Saccharomyces cerevisiae S288C: one gene and its partners. The protein of the gene in region 2 purifies or fractionates together with the protein of the main gene of each other region. This does not show direct contact. Each region holds a gene or a part of one and is shown on either strand. Other genes may lie near its edges.

Evidence for each region.
Region 1: the proteins of SPT20 (region 2) and SGF11 purify together in Saccharomyces cerevisiae (affinity purification with mass spectrometry; 9 studies listed by BioGRID). This does not show direct contact.
Region 3: the proteins of SPT20 (region 2) and SGF29 purify together in Saccharomyces cerevisiae (affinity purification with mass spectrometry; 8 studies listed by BioGRID, with this or other methods). This does not show direct contact.
Region 4: the proteins of SPT20 (region 2) and TAF10 purify together in Saccharomyces cerevisiae (affinity purification with mass spectrometry; 11 studies listed by BioGRID, with this or other methods). This does not show direct contact.

The regions. Positions count from the first base shown.
Region 1 is NC_001148.4:461,644-466,761, forward strand, and holds SGF11 (SAGA histone acetyltransferase complex subunit SGF11), read left to right. Parts: upstream 1-4,318; coding exon 4,319-4,618; downstream 4,619-5,118. Other genes in the region: mannosyltransferase complex subunit MNN9, read right to left, coding at 1-323; DIG1 (Dig1p), read right to left, coding at 838-2,196; CAM1 (translation elongation factor EF1B gamma), read left to right, coding at 2,758-4,005; ELC1 (elongin C), read right to left, coding at 5,001-5,118. UniProt on the Saccharomyces cerevisiae protein: Component of the transcription coactivator SAGA complex. SAGA acts as a general cofactor required for essentially all RNA polymerase II transcription. At the promoters, SAGA is required for transcription pre-initiation complex (PIC) recruitment.
Region 2 is NC_001147.6:45,260-49,557, forward strand, and holds SPT20 (Spt20p), read right to left. Parts: upstream 2,316-4,298; coding exon 501-2,315; downstream 1-500. Other genes in the region: DCP1 (Dcp1p), read left to right, coding at 1-374; PEX11 (Pex11p), read right to left, coding at 2,674-3,384; DNA replication protein PSF3, read left to right, coding at 3,605-4,189; CTR9 (Ctr9p), read right to left, coding at 4,296-4,298. UniProt on the Saccharomyces cerevisiae protein: Component of the transcription coactivator SAGA complex. SAGA acts as a general cofactor required for essentially all RNA polymerase II transcription. At the promoters, SAGA is required for transcription pre-initiation complex (PIC) recruitment.
Region 3 is NC_001135.5:100,421-106,183, forward strand, and holds SGF29 (Sgf29p), read right to left. Parts: upstream 3,931-5,763; coding exon 3,151-3,930; downstream 1-3,150. Other genes in the region: BUD3 (Bud3p), read left to right, coding at 1-771; YCL012C (uncharacterized protein), read right to left, coding at 897-1,213, 1,281-1,368; GBP2 (single-stranded telomeric DNA-binding/mRNA-binding protein), read right to left, coding at 1,655-2,938; ILV6 (acetolactate synthase regulatory subunit), read right to left, coding at 4,199-5,128; ubiquitin-binding ESCRT-I subunit protein STP22, read right to left, coding at 5,276-5,763. UniProt on the Saccharomyces cerevisiae protein: Chromatin reader component of the transcription coactivator SAGA complex. SAGA acts as a general cofactor required for essentially all RNA polymerase II transcription.
Region 4 is NC_001136.10:787,908-793,219, reverse strand, and holds TAF10 (Taf10p), read right to left. Parts: upstream 3,772-5,312; coding exon 3,151-3,771; downstream 1-3,150. Other genes in the region: STB3 (Stb3p), read left to right, coding at 1-872; Hsp90 co-chaperone CDC37, read right to left, coding at 1,372-2,892; exocyst subunit SEC5, read left to right, coding at 3,999-5,312.

The DNA of each region.
Region 1 (5,118 bases), on a different chromosome or scaffold from region 2:
GACGTAGAGTGCAATTTGTTCAAATCATAATGTGCAATATGACCTTCTGGGATAATATCTTCCACGTGATCGTTGAACAACCAGCCGCTTTTTTTCTTATAAGAGTACTTTGGCATTTTGTATTTCTTGGTGAAGGGAAAATAAAATGTGTTTTCCTTTTCGTGTGCCCATTTGTGTTGGGAAATGGACTGGCCATTAAGTCCCAACAGAGATTGATCTCTCTGGAAAAAAATTATATATATTAGAAATATGGCCAAAACAGGTAGAAAAATGTTAACCCACGGGTTCTTTCTTAGGCGGTACGATACAAGAGAAAGTGACATTGTTTCCTAACTTTTTATTCTAGCTCTTTTAAATTCTTCTGTTTGAAAAATACTAAAATTGATGCTATTCTCTTCTTACTTTCACAAAGTGCGGAAGGAAAAATAGGTTCAGAAATAACGGGTCCCAAGAGCGGCTAACAGAAAATAATAAAAGCTTTTCTACCAATTGAGAATCCGCTTGGTTGACGACTTTTCCTCCTTTATTATTCTTGATTTGGTGTTCTGTTTTACTTATATCAAAATACTTCAACGCCAAATCCGCTACAACGATGGAAAGGAAAAAAAAAAAAAAAAAAAAAAGACAAACCAATGCTGTCGTGTCTAGTGACGATAAAGGCTGTAACTATTAATAAGGTGAATACTCACCCTCATCTTTTAGTTTATCAAACTTATATAAAAATTGTGTATGTACTGAATTGTCCTTGGTGTGCGAGTGAGAGTGTGTGTGTGAGTGCGTGTGTGAGTAGGTGAGTGTATGCGAGTGTATGTAAGTTTATAAGTGCCTGTGTGGCTACTATTTTCCGGTTCTGTGATGTGATGATGATTTTTTTGTCAGCTCCTTTGATTCATTCCATACTTTATTACATATGCTCATAAACATTTTCTTGTCTACATTGCTAGAGCTCAGGGGGAACTCGAAGGCAAAAATATGCGATGAGAGTCGGATTTCGCCTTGAAGAAGACTAGGTGATTGCTGCTGCGGCTGCGAGGTCCGCTGGAACGTAGTAAAAGTGGGAGTGGGGACCGCTCCGTCCTCGATGGCCAAGTCCGTACCCTCTTCTTCGTCTTTATTGGGTTCTGCCTCATGCCATGAACTCCTGTCCCGGTTTGTGCTTGTGCTTGTACTTGTGCTTGTGCTTGCGCTTCTGGCTTTCGTGTTGGCCGAGAGTAATGCATCCCGTTCAAAGTGGTATTCTTCAGCAGGTATCATATCTGCTGGGCGTAGATCCGCGCGCTGTTGCGTAGGACCGGCATTCGCACTTGATCCTACGCTAGAATTTCTTGAGCCTTCCTCGGATCGTCTGGTTTTCCCAGTGGAAGCGGTGCCACTCAAAGGCGAATCATATGAGTCGTTAACCCTCTTGTTTCTGTAATTGCTAGCACTATACTCATTTTCTTCGTAGGGCCTAGCGTTGCCACCTTGCATAGCATAAGGAATGGAGGTCCGCGGTCCCATTGGATATGGATACGACACGTAGGGTGTCATTATGGGCTTGTTCAGCATGTGAGGTGGAGGGATACCGTACGGATTATAATATGGTGACATTATGTAGCGATTCATGGGCATGTAAGGGTTCATGGCGCTCATGATGCCCGCCGAGGGCATGTGTGGTTTCCCATAACTATTGCTGCTATTATTCACTTGTATAGATTGTCTAGAACTGGCCTTTCCCAAGTATTGGACACGGGGCTGGAACTTGGAATGCTGAGTAACTTGTGCGGGCGCGCTTTTCACGTTTTGATTAGCAACAGGAGGAAAATGTGCAGAGTTAGACGAAGCCAAGTTGCCGTCCTTAATATTACCACCGTGTGTATTAGTGTTGCTATCCGATAAATTCAAAGGCGCCGGGACTCTGCCCCTCTTCAATGATTTCTTCGGATTCTTCAATGGTTGGGCTTTCCTCTTCTTCGCAGTGGCTGTCTCAGAATCCTCATGATCTGCTTCCTTGTCACCAGAGTCATCCTCCTCAGGGACATGCTCTAGCTCCGACTCCTGACCAACGCTGTTTCCGCCTGGCGAATTCTTAATGTTGCTATCGCTGCTGCCCTTAGCATTTGCTACACTGATTTCTGTATCACCAATTGGATCTTGTGTTGATTTAGCAATGGATGTATCCTCGGCAGTCGTTCTCAAACGGGCTGATACGGCCATTCTCACTTTCTATTTTCTTCTTTGAGAAACAATACCAAAATTTGTTACTGATTTGATTCTTTTTAAGTGCGTTTCTTCTGTATAAGCTAAAAAAACGCAAAGCACAAAGCGGAAAAACTAAACCTAATAAACTTCCCCCAGCGAGAAACAGATGTAAAGAACAACCGTATCAAGTGGCGAAGCAGCTGCTTATAAGTAAAGCCCAAGGCCCACCAACGCATACATGCAAGGCCTGTGCAAGCCGACTGCTGCTTGTTTCATCTTCCGCTCGCGGTGACCCACTCGGGGAATTTCTCACGCTTGCTGCTGCAGGTCGTTGGGCGTTGATTCCTGTTTTTTTCTTTCGTTTTTTCAATCCGCGGGAGTGAGACATGATTAGTGTAGTCCTTGTAGAGTTCCTTATTTATTTTTTTATTAGTTTTCTTGTTTTCGTTTATCAGCAGGGTTTGGTTGTGTTGCTTGGCAGCCCGCAAATTGGTCTTCCCTCCTTGTTATTGTATTTTCTGTTATTAGAGCATACAGAACATAGAAACTCAAGATCAGATACAGTTTTTGCACGCCATGTCTCAAGGTACTTTATATGCTAACTTCAGAATTAGAACTTGGGTCCCAAGAGGTCTTGTCAAGGCTTTGAAGCTGGACGTTAAGGTTGTTACGCCAGATGCCGCCGCTGAACAGTTCGCAAGGGACTTTCCCTTGAAGAAGGTTCCGGCTTTCGTGGGTCCAAAGGGTTACAAGCTAACCGAGGCAATGGCGATTAACTATTATTTAGTAAAGCTTTCACAGGACGACAAGATGAAGACTCAACTTTTAGGTGCCGACGATGACTTAAATGCCCAAGCGCAAATCATCAGATGGCAATCTTTGGCCAACAGTGATCTGTGCATCCAGATTGCCAACACCATCGTTCCCTTGAAGGGCGGCGCCCCCTACAACAAGAAGAGCGTTGATTCTGCGATGGACGCTGTTGACAAGATCGTCGACATCTTCGAGAACAGATTGAAAAACTACACCTATTTGGCTACGGAAAACATCTCCTTGGCCGACTTGGTGGCTGCCTCGATTTTCACCAGATACTTTGAAAGCCTGTTCGGTACTGAATGGAGAGCTCAACATCCAGCCATCGTGAGATGGTTCAACACCGTTAGAGCCTCACCCTTCTTGAAGGATGAATACAAGGATTTCAAGTTCGCTGACAAGCCATTGAGTCCCCCTCAAAAGAAGAAGGAAAAGAAGGCCCCAGCCGCCGCTCCCGCCGCTTCGAAGAAGAAGGAGGAAGCCAAGCCAGCTGCTACCGAAACTGAAACTTCTTCCAAGAAACCAAAGCACCCATTAGAATTATTGGGCAAGTCAACTTTCGTTTTGGATGACTGGAAGAGAAAGTACTCCAATGAAGACACCAGACCAGTTGCTTTACCTTGGTTTTGGGAGCACTACAACCCAGAAGAGTATTCCCTGTGGAAAGTCACCTACAAGTACAACGATGAATTGACTTTGACTTTCATGTCCAACAACTTGGTCGGTGGTTTCTTCAACAGATTGTCCGCCTCTACCAAGTACATGTTCGGTTGTCTGGTAGTCTACGGTGAAAACAACAACAACGGTATTGTTGGTGCAGTTATGGTTAGGGGCCAAGATTACGTTCCAGCTTTCGATGTCGCACCAGATTGGGAATCTTACGACTATGCAAAGTTGGATCCAACTAACGACGACGACAAAGAATTCATCAATAACATGTGGGCCTGGGATAAGCCAGTTTCCGTCAATGGCGAACCAAAGGAAATTGTTGACGGTAAGGTCTTAAAATAATCTCTTCGTACTATCCTTCATGTCGCCTTTTATTATAAAGTATGCTAGGTAGTTTTATCTATATCTTATTTATGACGCAATATAGGGTAACAGAGTTTTTCTGCTCTGAAACTTCCGCAGAAAAAAAATCAAGTTTTCCTTTTCGTATCTTGGATTATTGTTATATAATAGATGCATGTATTATATGTATAGCAGTGATTTGCTTATTTTCTTGATTCTGAGGAATCGAAGAAGTAACTTAGCGTTTCTTCCGTTGAGCAGAGCAGTATAATAATCCTTCAAATTCTTTAGGTTACGGGGTTTTCCTGTTGCGATGACCGAAGAAACTATTACTATAGATTCTATTTCAAATGGGATACTGAATAACCTGTTAACCACATTGATCCAGGACATTGTAGCTCGGGAAACCACTCAACAACAATTGCTGAAGACAAGATATCCGGATCTTCGCAGTTATTATTTCGACCCGAACGGATCTCTCGATATTAATGGACTACAGAAGCAACAAGAGTCCTCTCAGTATATTCACTGTGAGAATTGTGGCAGGGATGTGTCCGCAAACAGACTAGCAGCTCATTTACAGAGATGTTTGAGTAGGGGTGCTAGACGTTGACACTAGGTGGTGGTTTATGGGTAATTGAAAAGGCACAGACAGATTTTAGCCCATTTCTTGTGGGCATAGGTTCATAAAAAAAGCAAGATTCTTACATTTTATGCGGCATATCTGCACATAGAAGTTCATGTAGTTATGTGGTAACATCTCAAAGAGAGAAGGCGAAAACTGTTTTAGCTATTAACTACATGTTTTTATAATAGCACCTCCCATATATGATGCCAAATGATACCTTGCATTCCGTTATGTGGAAGGGTTACACATAAGTACGCTATAACAATGCATTCAATTTTCTACATATCAGAGTAATATGCTGCAACATCACACCCATATAATATAATTTTTTGAAAGAGTTCCTAACTCTTTTTTGTTTTTCCTGTACCTATATACTCAAATAGTCCGCCGCAAGTAGCAGCTCTAACGACATTTCTGTCGGTATTTCAAACTCTGGAATCTCATCATCGTCCTCGCTAACGCCGCTGTACTTCAAATTATAATTT
Region 2 (4,298 bases):
ACAGGAATAGCAGTGGAAATGGGAACTCTTATAAAAGTAATGATTCGCTAACATATAATTGCGGCAAAACTTTAAGTGGAAAGGACATATACAATTATGGATTGATCATATTAAACCGAATTAATCCTGACAATTTTTCTATGGGCATTGTTCCCAATAGTGTCGTAAATAAAAGAAAAGTATTTAATGCAGAAGAGGATACACTTAACCCACTAGAGTGCATGGGGGTAGAGGTGAAAGATGAATTGGTCATTATTAAGAACTTGAAGCATGAGGTCTATGGTATATGGATTCATACAGTTAGTGATAGACAAAATATCTACGAACTAATAAAATATCTTCTGGAAAATGAGCCAAAAGATTCTTTTGCTTGAGCACAGAGGTGAGATGCCCAAGTGAGAATTTTTTTTAAATAATGATGTACTTTAATACAATATATATATATATATATATATATATATATATATATATATAAGGAATGATAACTCTATTTAAGTAGATTATGACATTGTAGTAGAAGAGGGCGTGCTACTTGCGCTCTGTTTCTTCTTAGTCATTCTTTTCTTTTTAGGAGCTGGTGTACCGCTCTCGCTTTTTTTTGCATTTTTTCTAGGTCGCTTAACCTTTGGTTTATCTAAATTATTATTATTATTATTATTGTTACTGGTGGCATTGTTACCACTCCGTTTATTTGCGTTTTTCATGGCTCCACCATTCTGTTGTTGCTCCAAGGCCTGCTGTTGTCTTTGAAGTAGCTGTTGCTGTGGAGTCAATGGTGCTGTCATCGATATTCTAGCGTTGAAGGGGGTTGGATTGATGTTTGCACTTAAAGCCTGCTGTTTTCTTTTTTCTTTATTTATTCTCCATTGTTCAATAAATTTCAGCCTGCTAAATTGATTATTATCGTTACCCATGGTAGATCCCACTGCAGCCGCAGCCGCTGCCGCTGCCAAAGCTACTTGATTGCCATTAGCCAAACTGTTATTCCTTGTATTTGATGCGGAATTCGAAGTTGAGGACGAAGCTCCACGTACCCCGTTGGAACTGGAGCTAGCAATCTCCATCGCATTCTTGGTTAACGAAACAGCAAACGTGGAGTTGGTTATCGTTGTTGTGCGTTCATTCATGATCAACATCAACTGTTCATAATTTGAACTATGTTGCGGAAATTCATCGCGTTCTTCGATATGCCCTACAACGCCCTTCGTGCCTTCTCTCGTAGACTCAGCACGATGTTCGTGAATGAAGGATTTTTTTTCACTATCCCAATGAGGTTCTGAAAAAGCTGTTTCCTCCAACATGTCTCGGTGCTCATATGGATTTAATGGCACACTTAGTGACAAGTTCCTCTTGGTAAGTGTTAAAATTTCAGATTCAAACTGTTGATAAATGCTATCAGAAAACCTGGCATTATCTGCATAAGACATCATGTCATAATACGTCGTCAAATCATTAGGCTTCAACAATGTTCGATATACTCTAGGTCGTTTGAAGGATGCCTTCTTATTTGCTGTGTTTGCGCCTGTATTTGCCACACCACTATTAGGTTCGGATGGTTGTTGAATCTTGGAATTGTCCTGTGTGCTATTATTATTTGAAGGGGAAGAAGAGCTGTTCAAATTAGGCTTGTTCTCTTTGGGGGTGACATCAACTGTATTAGTATGGTCATAAACCTGTAAAATAAGATTTCCTTCGTAAAATTGGATATTACAGTCCCTTAAGACTTCCATAATAGCATCAGGAATCCTTCCTCTTGCGACGTACTCTAAAAATTCTTTCAAAGTTTCGTTATTTTTGGTTAATATTAAACCGTCACTAGTCAGCTCGGGTTGCTTTTGCTGCTGTTGTAACCTGCTATTTGCAGGAGCGCAAATCTTATAATTATTCTCATAAATATGAAATTCAAAACTGTGTAAATATTGCTCATATTTTTTCAAAATTGAGTCTGCATCTTCCACAAAATTGTAAAGTCTTTTAGGTCTTTTGTTTAAGGTCATAAGCATTTGATAAAACTGAGCCTCATAGTTTTGGAGTGCTTGCTGTTTTCTCTGTTGTTCGAGTAGTCTTTGCTGTAGTAATAATCGTTGTCTTTGCTGCAATTGCTGTATTTGCTCCCTGGTTAAAGTCCTAGTACCTTCATTGGCATTACTATTACTGTTTGTCCTCATAACAGGATGATTTACATTTGCTACCGCTGGGTTCATAGGAGGTGGTACATTAACTGGACTGCCTGGCGAACCCATATTGGATGGTGTTGCGTTCACAGGAATACCAAATACATGGGGATCGTTTCCTGTCGGGCTATTGGCACTCATCCCTGAAATATATAGGCGCAAATTAACCGTAACTATTCCTTCCTAATCCTCTTGAAGGCTACTTTTCTCATTCTTTTATCTCTGCTGGTCGATCATCTTAACACTTCTTCATGATTAATGGTCGTCAGGTATCACGAGCGGGTAACAGAACTAAGCAGTTATAGCGATCCCAGTTTTACTTTAAAGATAGTTAGTTAGTTATTAATGGTGCGGATAACAAGAACTATTGTCACTCAGAATCTTATACAGGTATGGACATGGAACATTGGGTCATATACATAAGAAATAAATTATAAAGAAGGGTCGAATCAAACATAAGCGGAGAATAGCCAAATAAAAAAAAAAGATGAAAAGAAAGCTATGTAGCTTTCCACATGTCTTGCATACCAAGGATAGATGTGACAACACCGGATAGCGCAACATACTCTTCGTTGCTAGACAAGTACCCTAGGTTGTTGAGGACGATGAACGAATCTGCAGCATCCCAGAATAGTCTTCTTAACGCGGTGTACCTGTCTTGGTATGCCTTCCCTAGTACCTTCTTGTGATCCTCATGCTCATCGCCTTGGCTTTGTGATTTTGCCTTGACAAACGCAGCAATCTGGGCATGAGATGTTTGGATCTTACGAAGATCCATAGCCAGACCACTTAGGAGGCCGAACAGCCAACACCAATTGGACCAGCGAGGTATTTTCTTACCGGTAAGAACGGTTACAGGAATCACTTTCAAAATTCTCAAAAGATTGACTTGATCTAACGACAAATATGCAGCAAAGAAGATGTTTTTCAAAACATTGCAGACTCTAACGACGTTGTCGCTGGCCAACTTGTTATCGTAGAATTTAGCAGCTGCCTGCAAGTGGTTTAAAGGCTTCAGAAACCTCAGAAATTTTCTGACTGTGGTAAATTGAGCTTGTAATTGCCTGGCCAAGAGAGATGAGTTCTGTACTGCTAAAAATCTTGCTAAATACTGCAGTAATCTGAGAACCTTTTCTCTGCCAGCTGAGCCATCTAGAAATTTGACGAATCTCGTCACGGAGGGATGATATACCAGTGTATCACAGACCATATTGATTATACTATTACTTGATGAAGTCTTTGAAGTAGTAGATGGAGACAACGGTTTTTCAGTTGTTGGAGTCACTTCCCTTTTATATCTATAAATGATATACCCATCGCTTCGGGTTCTCCGAGATAAATGCCGACGCGTAGTGAAAATCGCAATGGAATTGATGCCAACTTTGTTCTTGGTATTATATTTTTACAATAGAAGGGCAAGCATAGAAAGGATGGGTTACTATGACATTGATGATGTCCTAGCAGATGGGACAGAGTTTCCTTGTAAATTTCAATATGATATTCCTGGTCTTGGTTATTTGGAAAACAACCCAGGACGACCCATAACGAAAAACACTAAACTAAGCCTGCCACTATGGTTAGCAAGAATCCTTGCAATTGTGGGTGGTGACGAAGCCTTGGTAGATGAAGAACCTGTACCTTTTGTGGAACTCCTGCCACCAGATATGTTTTCTACGAAAGTTATGAACGCTATAAAGACCGATCCGGTGGCTCTGGACTTGCATTCCATAAATTCGCATTTCTTCAGTCTAGCCATAAAATGGATAATGTTGTTTAGCGAAAAAGAACTGGCCAATGTCGTTAGTGAGCTACTTTTGCAACGTGCCCAAGAACTTAATCATCATGCTAGTAGTTTATCGATTGATCTCAATGCAGACTCGACCGGAAAAAATTCAGCGAACACTAATATAGCAACTAGCACATTTTTACTGAAACTAGAAGAAATGGAGAAGGAGATATATAAAAAGTCTCATGAATCTTATAAGGACACGAAAAGGTGGATGTTTAAAAAATAACACATCTTTTTCTTTAGAAATACACTATATAAAATAACTATAAAAAAAAGGCAACAGTATAATATTAAGTTTCTTTAAAAGTCTTGATTCTAACCCTCGCCTCTTCTTA
Region 3 (5,763 bases), on a different chromosome or scaffold from region 2:
TATGAAAATGGCTCTCCATCTGATATTTCGTTCACTTATGATACTCACAACAATGATGAACCTGACAAAAGGCTGATGGAATTAAAATTTCCATCCCAAGATGAAATTCCGGATGACAGATTCTATACTCCAGCAGAGGAACCCACTGCTGAATTTCCGGTGGAAGAACTTCCAAATACTCCGCGAAGTATTAACGTTACAACTTCAAATAACAAGAGCACAGACGATAAGTTGAGTAGCGGTAATATTGATCAAAAACCTACCGAACTGTTAGATGATTTAGAATTCAGTTCATTTAATATAGCATTTGGAAATACCTCCATGAGTACTGACAATATGAAAATATCATCCGACTTAAGTTCGAATAAAACCGTGTTAGGAAATGCTCAGAAAGTTCAAGAGTCTCCTAGTGGACCATTAATCTATGTTTTGCCTCAGAGTAGCACAAAGCATGAGAAAGAGGGGTTCCTTCGAAAGAAACAAAAAGACGAGCCCATTTGGGTTTCCCCTAGCAAAATTGACTTTGCTGATCTAAGTAGGAGAACTAAAGCATTGACGCCAGAGCGTAATACTGTTCCTTTGAAAAACAACGACAGTAGAAAATACAAATATACTGGAGAGGGATCTATCGGTAATATGACAAATATGCTGTTAACTAAAGATGCTTCGTACGCGTACTTAAAAGATTTTGTTGCGTTGAGTGACGATGAAGATGAAGATGGGAAACAGAACTGCGCTGTTGGTGGCCCAGAGAAACTGAAATTTTATTGAGTGTTTTATTGATTTTTTTTTTCTTTTTAATTTAATGCAATGTATACATTTACATAAAATATGGACAAATAAGAAAAAGGGGGAAAAACCTCCCACTTAAGTAAAACTGAATATATTAGATACCTTTACCTACTATCAAAGGTGAATGCTTTTGGATCAATAGGGGTTCCATCGGGGGCAATACCATTTTGGCCGAACTTTCTTTCCATATATAATAGTCTAGCCTTATCGAAATCTACATTATCGTTTTCCATAATTTGTTTAATCTCATTCTTGGAGACATCATCCAAACCACCTCTTACGTCGTTGCTATTCTCCGAGATAATATCGAAATTCCTGGAATGGAGACCGTTTTCTAGGTCATCAGCAAAGGAATCATTTAAACGTATATGTCTATTAAAACGTAATTGTATTCTTGAACGCAGTGCACGAAATTTGTCGGCTATTACAGCTGTTAGTATTTAGATACGGTTTGCACTTTGCATTTTCAAATGCTTAAATATACATACCAACTTTGGTTTTCCGGTGTGCCATAAGAAGGCATAAAGACAATAGCACAACCCAGAGGAGCAATTTGAGATAGAACAAACTCTTCATACTCGTATTTGCAATTTTTGGAAATTAATTGTGTAGCTTTTCTTCTCTTAATTGGTGGCAGTTTTTATATATTCAGTTTAGAATACCCTTTTTTTTTTTTTTTTTTTCTTCGCTTTTCGCATCTCATCGCTGGAAGTGGTGCTCTTTTACAGGGATTAAATAAGGTTATTCTTTTTGGTCAAAATGATAAATATAACTATTAAAGTTATTTATAACCCGCCCGCTTCCTTATTATTTATACGTTATCATAAAGTACACAGGTCATGGTTCGGTTGGTGCTTAGGAATTAATCACGTCTAGCATAAGAGATCTGTAAACTACAACCACCATAATTATAATTATTTAATTTTTGAATACAAAAATCTGCATCTACTAAATTTTCATATTCTACAACAGCAACACCAGTTGGTTGACCATTTTCCTGTGGTTTCAATTCCGCGTTATTGATTTTGCCGATAGGCCCAAACAAGTCGAATAAATCGCTTCTTGCTGTTGAGAATGGTAAATTACTACAATAAATGAAACAGTTTCTATCCCCTCCTGGATTGACACCTTCAGTAAATTTTGCTGCAGTTTCATCAATGTGGACAGCGGCATCCTGCGCAAGACCTGGTTCAGTACCTCTGGTATCTTCAAGGTCCTCACGCCTTTGATTATAACGATCATTGTTCTTTCTCTTGTTGAAACGCCCTTCTCTAACTTCCAAAACTCTACCTTCTACTTCCATGCCGTTGAATGTATCGATAGCTCTAATCATTTCATCCTCAGTAGGATAAATGACAGAACCGAATCCTCTTGAAAATCCGTTGAAATCCAATTCTACATCGGCACGCAAGACATGACCACATTCTTTAAACATATCTTTTAAGGATTGCCAATTCATAGAGTACGGTAAATTGATGATGAACACTTCAAACCCATTATCTATTTCTTCCCTAGTAGCTTTCTTAGAAAATTCCTTGGCAGCTTCAGGAGGAGGATTATCCTGTCTTACCATTAGTTTCCGGTCCATAAAGAGGGCACCATCAAACTTCGATATGGCATCTTGGACAGATTCGTTTTTGGTAAATTCCACAGTCCCCATACCACGGTGATGGCCCTTTGATGTGATAATGTCAGCCTCCACAACTTCGCCCACTGTACCAAACAATTCCTTAAGGTCTTCAGGGGTACAATCAAAAGTCAAGTTTCTCACGAAGATACTATTTTCAAAATTTCTCTTGGTCGCGTCAAATTGCCTTTCTAAGTCTCTTTCAACAATTGGACCTAAAGTACGACCCCTACCGCCACCGCGTCCCCCTCTGAATGATCTGCTTCCTCCTCTGCCACGGCCTCCTCGGCGAGGGGGCCAGTTCCTATCATCGTGGTAGCGGCTGCCACCATAACTCTGATCGTACCGATCATTGAAACGGGAGCCTCGGTCGCGTCTCTGACGACGACTGCCATTACCATTATTACTGCTACTATCGTTATAATCATCGTACCTGTCTCTGTCGTCGCTCAAACGACGACGTACAGGTGATCTTGATCTACTCCTATCATTTCCATACATCCCTAGCTCTCTCTCCATCTTGGCGAAAAAATCCAGCTGATGTTTGTTTCCTTTTCGCCCATAGCTTATTTCTAATGGGAAATCCTCAATATAATTGATTTCATCCAAGCTTTCATTTTTTTTCAATTTTTTTCACCTTCAAGTGAATACATCACTTCCGACGATACCAAAATAATGACAAAATGCCATGAGAAGATCTTATGATATGTAGTAAATGTTAACCACCATTGCTATTTCCTTGCTAGGTTTGCCAAAGCCGTTGGCGAAGGCAGCACTAGACGGCGAGTCACTTCCGTCTCTTTGTCCACTTCCTCTTCACCATCAAATCGAAGCCTGCAAGTGCCGTCCCTCTTGGTTCCGATGACAATTGCAGGATAAAAAGTGGTCGTTTCAGGATATCTTGCCAGAACCTTAGTACCTGGCGGGTAGTTCTTAGTGGGAAAGCCTGGCGGGATCAACAGTAGTTCTTTCCGATTACATTTATACACCTTGCCTGAGTTGCCCAATTCATCAGGTTCAGGATCTCTCACTTCAAATCGTGTACCATCTGCTACGACTTTGAGTACTTCACACTGTATCCATTCGCCGTCGGCACTGCCCCTTCTGGGCTTATAGGCAACCTCTGAGCCCACCAAAATAGGTGCATTTGGGTTGTATTCGCTGGTCCAGTACGATCTGCCAACTTTCCCCACAGCTTTCTTGCCCTGCGACAATGCCATGCGTGTCCCTTCTCCTTCTTCTGCATCTTCAGTATTTTCCTCACTCTTTTCCTCTCGTGACTGATTCAACATCAACGACAAATTGGAACGTACATTGTCAAGGATTCGGTGCACTCTGTTGACGTTTTCCATGTGTTCTTGGAAAGTGTTGAGATGCAATTGCAGCTGATCCTTTGACATATTAAGGAAATTTAGTTTTTTTGTTTGCAGCTCATCATCAAAGGGAATGACCTCGTTGGCATTGTATATGTCTTGCAAGGACGACACTACAACATCCCAATATCCGTCCATAATAAGAAAGGTGACCGTGTGTTTTGCTGTGAAAAACTCCCCCCACTTAGAGAAGCCACCAAGGTATTGTGTCTTTAACCTTTTTCGTATCTGGCAAAATCGAAGAGGAAAGCAGAAAACCAAAAGAAAAAAATAGTTTAGTAACGCGTCACCTCGTACAAACGTACAATCATAGCAACTTATGAGTAAATAGGCTCATGGTTATAGATACGTTATATAGATGTATAGAGGAGAGTCCCGAGGGCGATCGCAAGGCCGAGAGACTAACCTAACCAGGTGGTAGTTGGGAAATGTCGACGATTTCGCTGATCTTTTCGTCTTCGTCGGCAGCTTCCTCGGTGCTTGTCTTCAAAGGAGTTCTTGGCAATGCCATCATACCGCTTCTTGCACACTCTAGGACACCGAATGGCTCGACCAACTTCAAGAAGGCAGAGATACGTGTGGGTTTTGCAGACAACTCCACAATACAGCTTGTTTCGCTGATGTCGACGACACGACCTCCAAAGTTGTTGGTCAAGTTGGTGATATCGTTCAAATGCTCGTGCTTCAACCTTAATACCTCACTGGCGGGCAAGTTGGCAGGGTGGAATTGCTTTTCTCTGATTTCGGCGACCAATTCTTGGGAGTCAGCGGCGCCAGCATTGGTGGAAGTGTGGTGGTGCAATAGTAGGTCTTCGAAGTATTCAGTACCCAATAGAGAGATTCTGGCCATCACTAGCTCTCTTTTGATGATCTCAGAATTGGTATAGTCTAGGACGGCGTAGACGGGGACCAAGTCTTCGATTTGTCTGCGTGCTTGTTCGACTACGCCATCTTGCCCTTGCAAAACAATGGTCATTCTACTTAGGTCTTTGACCTCGGTGTTGCACACGACCAACGAATCGATGTTAAAGCCTCTGGCAGCTAACGTACCCGAGACTCTGGACAAGACACCGGGTTCGTTTTGCACCAAACAGTTCAAGACATGCTGTTTTCTTGGTTGACGAGAAGGCGCTGGTGTTTCGTAAATGATGGATGAAACGGCACTGTTGGCATTCCAGGAAGGAGTGTCTAGTGTGGGCAAGGGAGGTCTTGTTGCGTGTCTGTGCATCTGCTTGTACGCCAACGCGGAGGTCGACGAGGAACTGCAACGCACCATGGTAGCACATGAAGAAGCAACCACCCTGCGGTGGCCGCTTTGCAATAACGATCTCAGCATTAGAAAGACTGGGTTAGTGAGCTCAGATGTTCTAAAGATTCTGTATATACGAACTATGTACTTCCATATATACCATTCCCCGTTCTTGTTAGGTAAAGGTTAAAAAAATATTTTTTATGGCACTTCGGCGATGCGAAAGAAAGTGAGTCACGATAACGGTGAGGTGATTCGTTGGATGTGCCATCGCACAAGGAATTGCTGGCGTGCTAATTCACGACCTTGCTTGACAAAAGTATCGAGGGGAATGGTGCCACGGTGCAGCATCCTAGATAAGCACTCAATGGTGTCCGTGAGAGCGTAGTCCTGGGCAACGAGGTTGTATAGTTGATTGAGTCCATCTGTTTTGGCCACTGCTATGGAGTTCACGTCCTCGTCATCCACATGCGAAGTTGAGCTAAACTGTTGGACTTTGGCCCTATTTGCGGTCAGGACGTCTATCTGTGCGTTTAGCGAGTGCATGGTCTGCTCAATAGCCTGCTCAACGGCTCGTAAATGGTTCTTGTCGATGGCGATTATTTCATGGAATCTGGCAATTGATTCTTGCATGACGGTCTGTCTCGTCAGTATCTTGTCCGCTACATAGTCCACATCCTCTCTGTATAACTCATTGACTACGGTTTGTAGATTTTGTAGCA
Region 4 (5,312 bases), on a different chromosome or scaffold from region 2:
ATTTACATTACCAAAACAAATCGAGGAACAGCAGTAATAATTTTGGAAAATCTTCAAATGGTGATCCCTATAGTTTCGGCAGGAGAAGGTCTCAAGTTGTGTTCGCCGATTCAACTCCCGAGAATATTGAGCATGAAATAATAGCACAAAAGATTAGACCGCTATTAAGAAATAGACGCCGTTCGAGCATAAAACCACATACACCTTTCATTTCCAAACTAAACACACACCAAGATTCATCCTACCTTTCCCCCAATACAACCTCAACGACAACCCCATCAAATAACAACAGTAACTCAAACCAGGCGAAGATAGATTTAGAGAAACTTACTGCGACAAGTGAGCCAACTTCAAGAAGAGCTTCTCGTCTGTCTGTATCGAAAGAATCAAGTATTAGATCGACACTTTTCCCAAACAAAAACTATTTGATCGTCACTACAAACCCTAACTCTAAAGCTACGTCGGTTTCCACCTCCCCTAAGCTAGAAGAACAGATGAATGTAAGTTCAAATCCGATAGTATTATCGGACAAGGAGAAACATAGAGTAGCTTCACAACACCTGAATGGGGAATCGTCGCCACAACTTGTTCCCCATTCTCATCATCAACCTCACTCAGATACAGACGAAGAAGACTGGGAATCAATTGGTGCAGCTTCTCTGAGAAATAACAGTTTAGCACCTAACATAGACAGCGTAGCAAGTTCTACTAATGGCGTAGTTAGCCCTAAACCTACAAATCCAAGTTTTACTAACTCTCAGAATGGAGATATTGAGCCTCCCCTACAACACGACCAACAGAAACATGAACAGCAGCCAAGAAATGGGGAAGACAATAGTGCTGCGTTTTTATTAATGAGCTTAAAATCTTAAGAATTCTTTACCAGTTCCATGAAATAACAAAAAAACAGTAAAAAAAAAATGAAAATGAAAAAAGAATACATATTTTGTTTTAATGAAAGTTTGTTACCAAGTTTTGCTTTAAGTTTATCATCTCTGAATAATTATTTTGTCTTTTTTGTCACCACTTTTTTCTTGTCACATTTTTTTCTTCTTTTCATATTCATTTCATATATTAGCCCGTTCAATATATTTCAAAAGACCCAGTATTTTTCACATTTTACCCTTCCGATTCTTTGTGTAGTATATACAAATTACAAAAACACACACTGAGAAAAACATGCACTAATAAAAAATAAGATATTATGTACTAACGTAGGAAAGCAGGTACAAAACCTCTGCTGTAATTTCACGATTTTCTTTATTGATCATTAATTTTCTTCTTTTTTTTTTTTGTATTATGTATAAATGAAAATAACAATAAAAAAGGAAGTAGATGCACGCTGCACCAGTAAAATAGCTACATAAATTTCTAGTCAACAGTGTCGGCAGTATGTTTGACCTCTTCATGGTTATCTCCGCCACCATCACGGTCGTTTAAGGACAGATTCTCCATAGTGGCGTCTTCATGGTCCTGTTCGTATTGATCTTTCAAACTTTGAAAGTCTTTCTCGTTTTCTAAGATCGCTTTTATTCCAATAATGTCAATGTCATTAAACACTTCCAAAAGTTTCTCAGCCTCTTCAATTGGTATATCTTCAAAGACTTTATTAATATTATCCAAATTTTTGGTCATTATGGCTTCTTGCATTTTTTCCGGTATTAAAGTTTTGAAAACTTTAACCTTTTTCATCTCTTCTGGATCTTTAGAATTGAAGTCTGGCAAGTTTACTTCTAATTCTGTAGAATCATCTAGAGATTTCAATTGAATCGTCTCTACTCCTTCAGCATTCGATTCATCCATTTCCTCTTGTTGTAAAATTTTGGAACGTTTTTGAATGTGCAAAAATTTTTCTTGAACTGATCTCAAAAAAGACTCTTTACCCATTGGCTTGTCCTTGTTGAAGATAACCTTCTCGAAAAACATATTAATGACATTTGATAGTTCCATTGGATTTAAATATGGAATTTTCTTCATGTCGTAGATTTCCTTAATGTAGGCCATCAATTCGGATTGATGAATGACTTGCAAAGTCATCTTATCGTCACCATGTAACTGATACTCAAAGGCCTTCATCATTAAGGCGTCCTTTTGTTGTTCTGAAATAATAGGTAAGTGCTCCAGTAAGAATTTCTGAGATTTTGAGTACTCATTAATGGATATTTTACCGAATTCTTCAGTTTCCTTGGCCAGTTTCATAGGATCATCTTTAAAATCGATGAAAGTTTGCGGAACTGATGATTTTGCTAGTTTATTAAGAATATTAGACTCTGCAGCGCTCGAAAGAGCTTCTGAAGGAGTTGCTTCCAGTGGCTTAGCCCCCCCCTTTTGCTTGTTCATAAAGCTACTATCAAAGCCTGTATGAATGTCTTCAGATGAAATGTGTGCATTTTTCTCCTTGTATAATTCATCTAATTTCTTCTTAGCCTCTACAGTTACTGAATCGATCTTAGCCCTATGTTTCAAAATAGCATCCCTTATGAGAGATGGGCTCTTCGAGTCTTTGCCCTCTTTGTCTAAATCTTTTGCTAATTGTTCAAAAAGATCTTCAACCATTTCATTGTATGTTGCAATCTCAGGATCAACATTTTCCCCTTTACTTTTCTCCATCTTATCAAAATTTGCATTCAAGAATTTGGTAACGGCTGGCAAATCAGTAAGAGAACTTTCAGGTAAATTACTCAAAATTCTGTCCACTCGTTTGTTCAAATGAGAATACATATCCACTTGTGTCTCCAAATTTTTGATATCTTGGTTCCTTTTGAATCGCTGTTCATGGATACTCTGTTGTTTCCATTTAATGAACGATTTCTTGTCCACATTAGGATGCACCTCGACATCAGAATCATCTGATAGTTCAATTTTATCCCACTTAGAGTAATCAATGGCCATTTTTGACTTATGTAGTTGTTCCGTAGTACGATAGCTCGATAGTTTTTTTATCGTGATGAAGTGTTGGTGCAACGGAGGTGTTCTCTTATGTGGCAATCTTTCATGATCCTTCAGTAAAAAATCGTGAAAAACGGATGTTCAAAAAGCGTGTCAAATTTGCGTGAATAAGTGCTCTAATCAATCTAATAACGAATCGTGTATTTAAAAGAGTTGCATACTGCTACACTATATACATATTTCATTTCCATTTGTTAGCCACTAACGATAAAAGTCTGGGCGACCTATATTGAGCCCGTATTCAGCAACAGCGCTACTGAGATCGTTCACCGTCAGAACAACTTTGCTTGCTGTAGTCTTCTCATTCTGTTGATGTTGTTGTTGTGAAATCTGCTGCACGCCAGGCTGTTGCTGTCCTTGCAATAGCTGCCTAGCTCTCGCCTGACTGTTGTTAGCATTAGATACCGCTACGGAAGACCTGATCCTGGAATATTCGTAGGCATCCTTAGCTATATCACTAACAAATTTCTGAGTAGCAAGTGCTAAAAGTCGTTTCACTCGTACATCTGCTACGTTAAACCCGTTTTTGGTTAAATAGTAGTCTATTACTGCATCGGGAATGATAGGAGGAGTACTGTCCATCATCTCTAGAATCTCCTCCAGAGTCTTATCTTTTCTTGTAAATTCGGGTATACCAAATGCATTTTCACTCCCATCATCCACTACAGCCTCTCTCTTTTGCTTCTTCTTCATGTTTTCTGCGACAGAGTCATCATTATCATTGTCCCCATCATCGGCTCCCGCAACCGATGGAAAAGGTGTTTCTAATTGTCCTTCTTGATTATCATCAAACTCCGCATCGTAATCTTCCTCAAAATCCATAGTTTCAGTTATTCTTTCCTCTGTTCTTCGCTGCCAGTTCTTTTTAGCTTAGGCATGAATGCTGAATCTGCAGCTTCTTTAATTTTTCGTTTCTGTTTTCAACTTGAAAAAACAAAAGTATCAACTCCTACTATTCAACTAAAGTAACAAAAATAAGCTGCGTTAAAGCTGCTAAACTAGGAAAGAAGTTTCTGTTGAAATAAAGTAGCGAAAAAAAGTTTGGTACCATGGATAGGTTTCAAATTGGCGACGAGCAACTACTTCGTTTTTATCAGTTGAAGACTATTAATCCGACCCATTCCTGGGCCCAAGATTCCTCAAAATTGAATAATGAAGAGGCTACAAGCAATGAACTTGGCGTTGAAACGTCATTCGACATATTAAAAGACTTCAAATATGGCAATCAAATTAGCATTGACAAGGAATCGAGAGCATATTTAAACGATGAGTCGTTAAGTTATATTAGAGATCCCTTGAATGGACAAGAAATGTCTAAAGAATTGCAACATCTACCAAATGATTCAATGCGGTTGAACTATCTTGTCAACAGTAAACAATTCAACGTCAAAGCCTTTCTGAGAGATATGCACAAACAAGACTCTTTCAATGATCTAAATAACTCACTGGACAGGTTGGACAGTGATATACAAGACCAATCTATACATTTGAAACAATTGGTTGGTAAAAATTTCACCAAGTATGTTAAGATTAAAAACAAGTTAGACCAAATTTACAAAGAATTTGACGAGAAAACGAATGAAAAAAACCAATGTGATTCACCAAAAGAAAATCAAATAAATGTGGAAAGCTTAAATAAAAAGGTCGACGAGGTTATTAGAACAACAACTTTCAAACTGAAACCGCTAATGGATAACTATCAGAAAATTTTGAATTACCAGGCCACCAAAAAATTTATTGAATTGAATAAGTTTTACTTCAACCTACCCAAATCTTTAAAGAGATGTTTGACTAACAACGATTTCAATGAGTTCATTATCGAATATTCAAAAGGTCTTACGCTCCGTCGCCGTTTCAACCAGAGTTCAGATGCTTCACAATCTCTTGTTATAAAAAGAATTTGGACTCAAATAGAAAATTTATTAGTCACGTATAAAGATCTGATTTGGAACAGTTTAATAAATTCAAATTTTAACATTGACCAACCCCAAGAAACAATTTTGTCCCTCTTTTCAAAATTGTTGAACTTAGAAAACTTTATCAATAATAATCAAAGAGAAAGTGAAAGTGGTAACAAGAACACAACTTCATCATCCAATGAAAATCCAATCCTAAGATGGATGTCCATCAAAATGAATGGCTTTCAGAATGAACTGAACGAGTTGTCTGGCCATATGATTAGTAAAATCATTCATTCTCAAAGGCTTATATTACAAAACAATACTAATCAAGATAAAAGTCAAGGGTGCGTGGAGCTGTCGTATTATTTGAAAATCAATCAATTATTCCAAATAATAAGTGATACGGGCAAGGATAGTGAAGGTTTGAAAAGTACCGTTGAACCCAATAAAGTTAACACCATT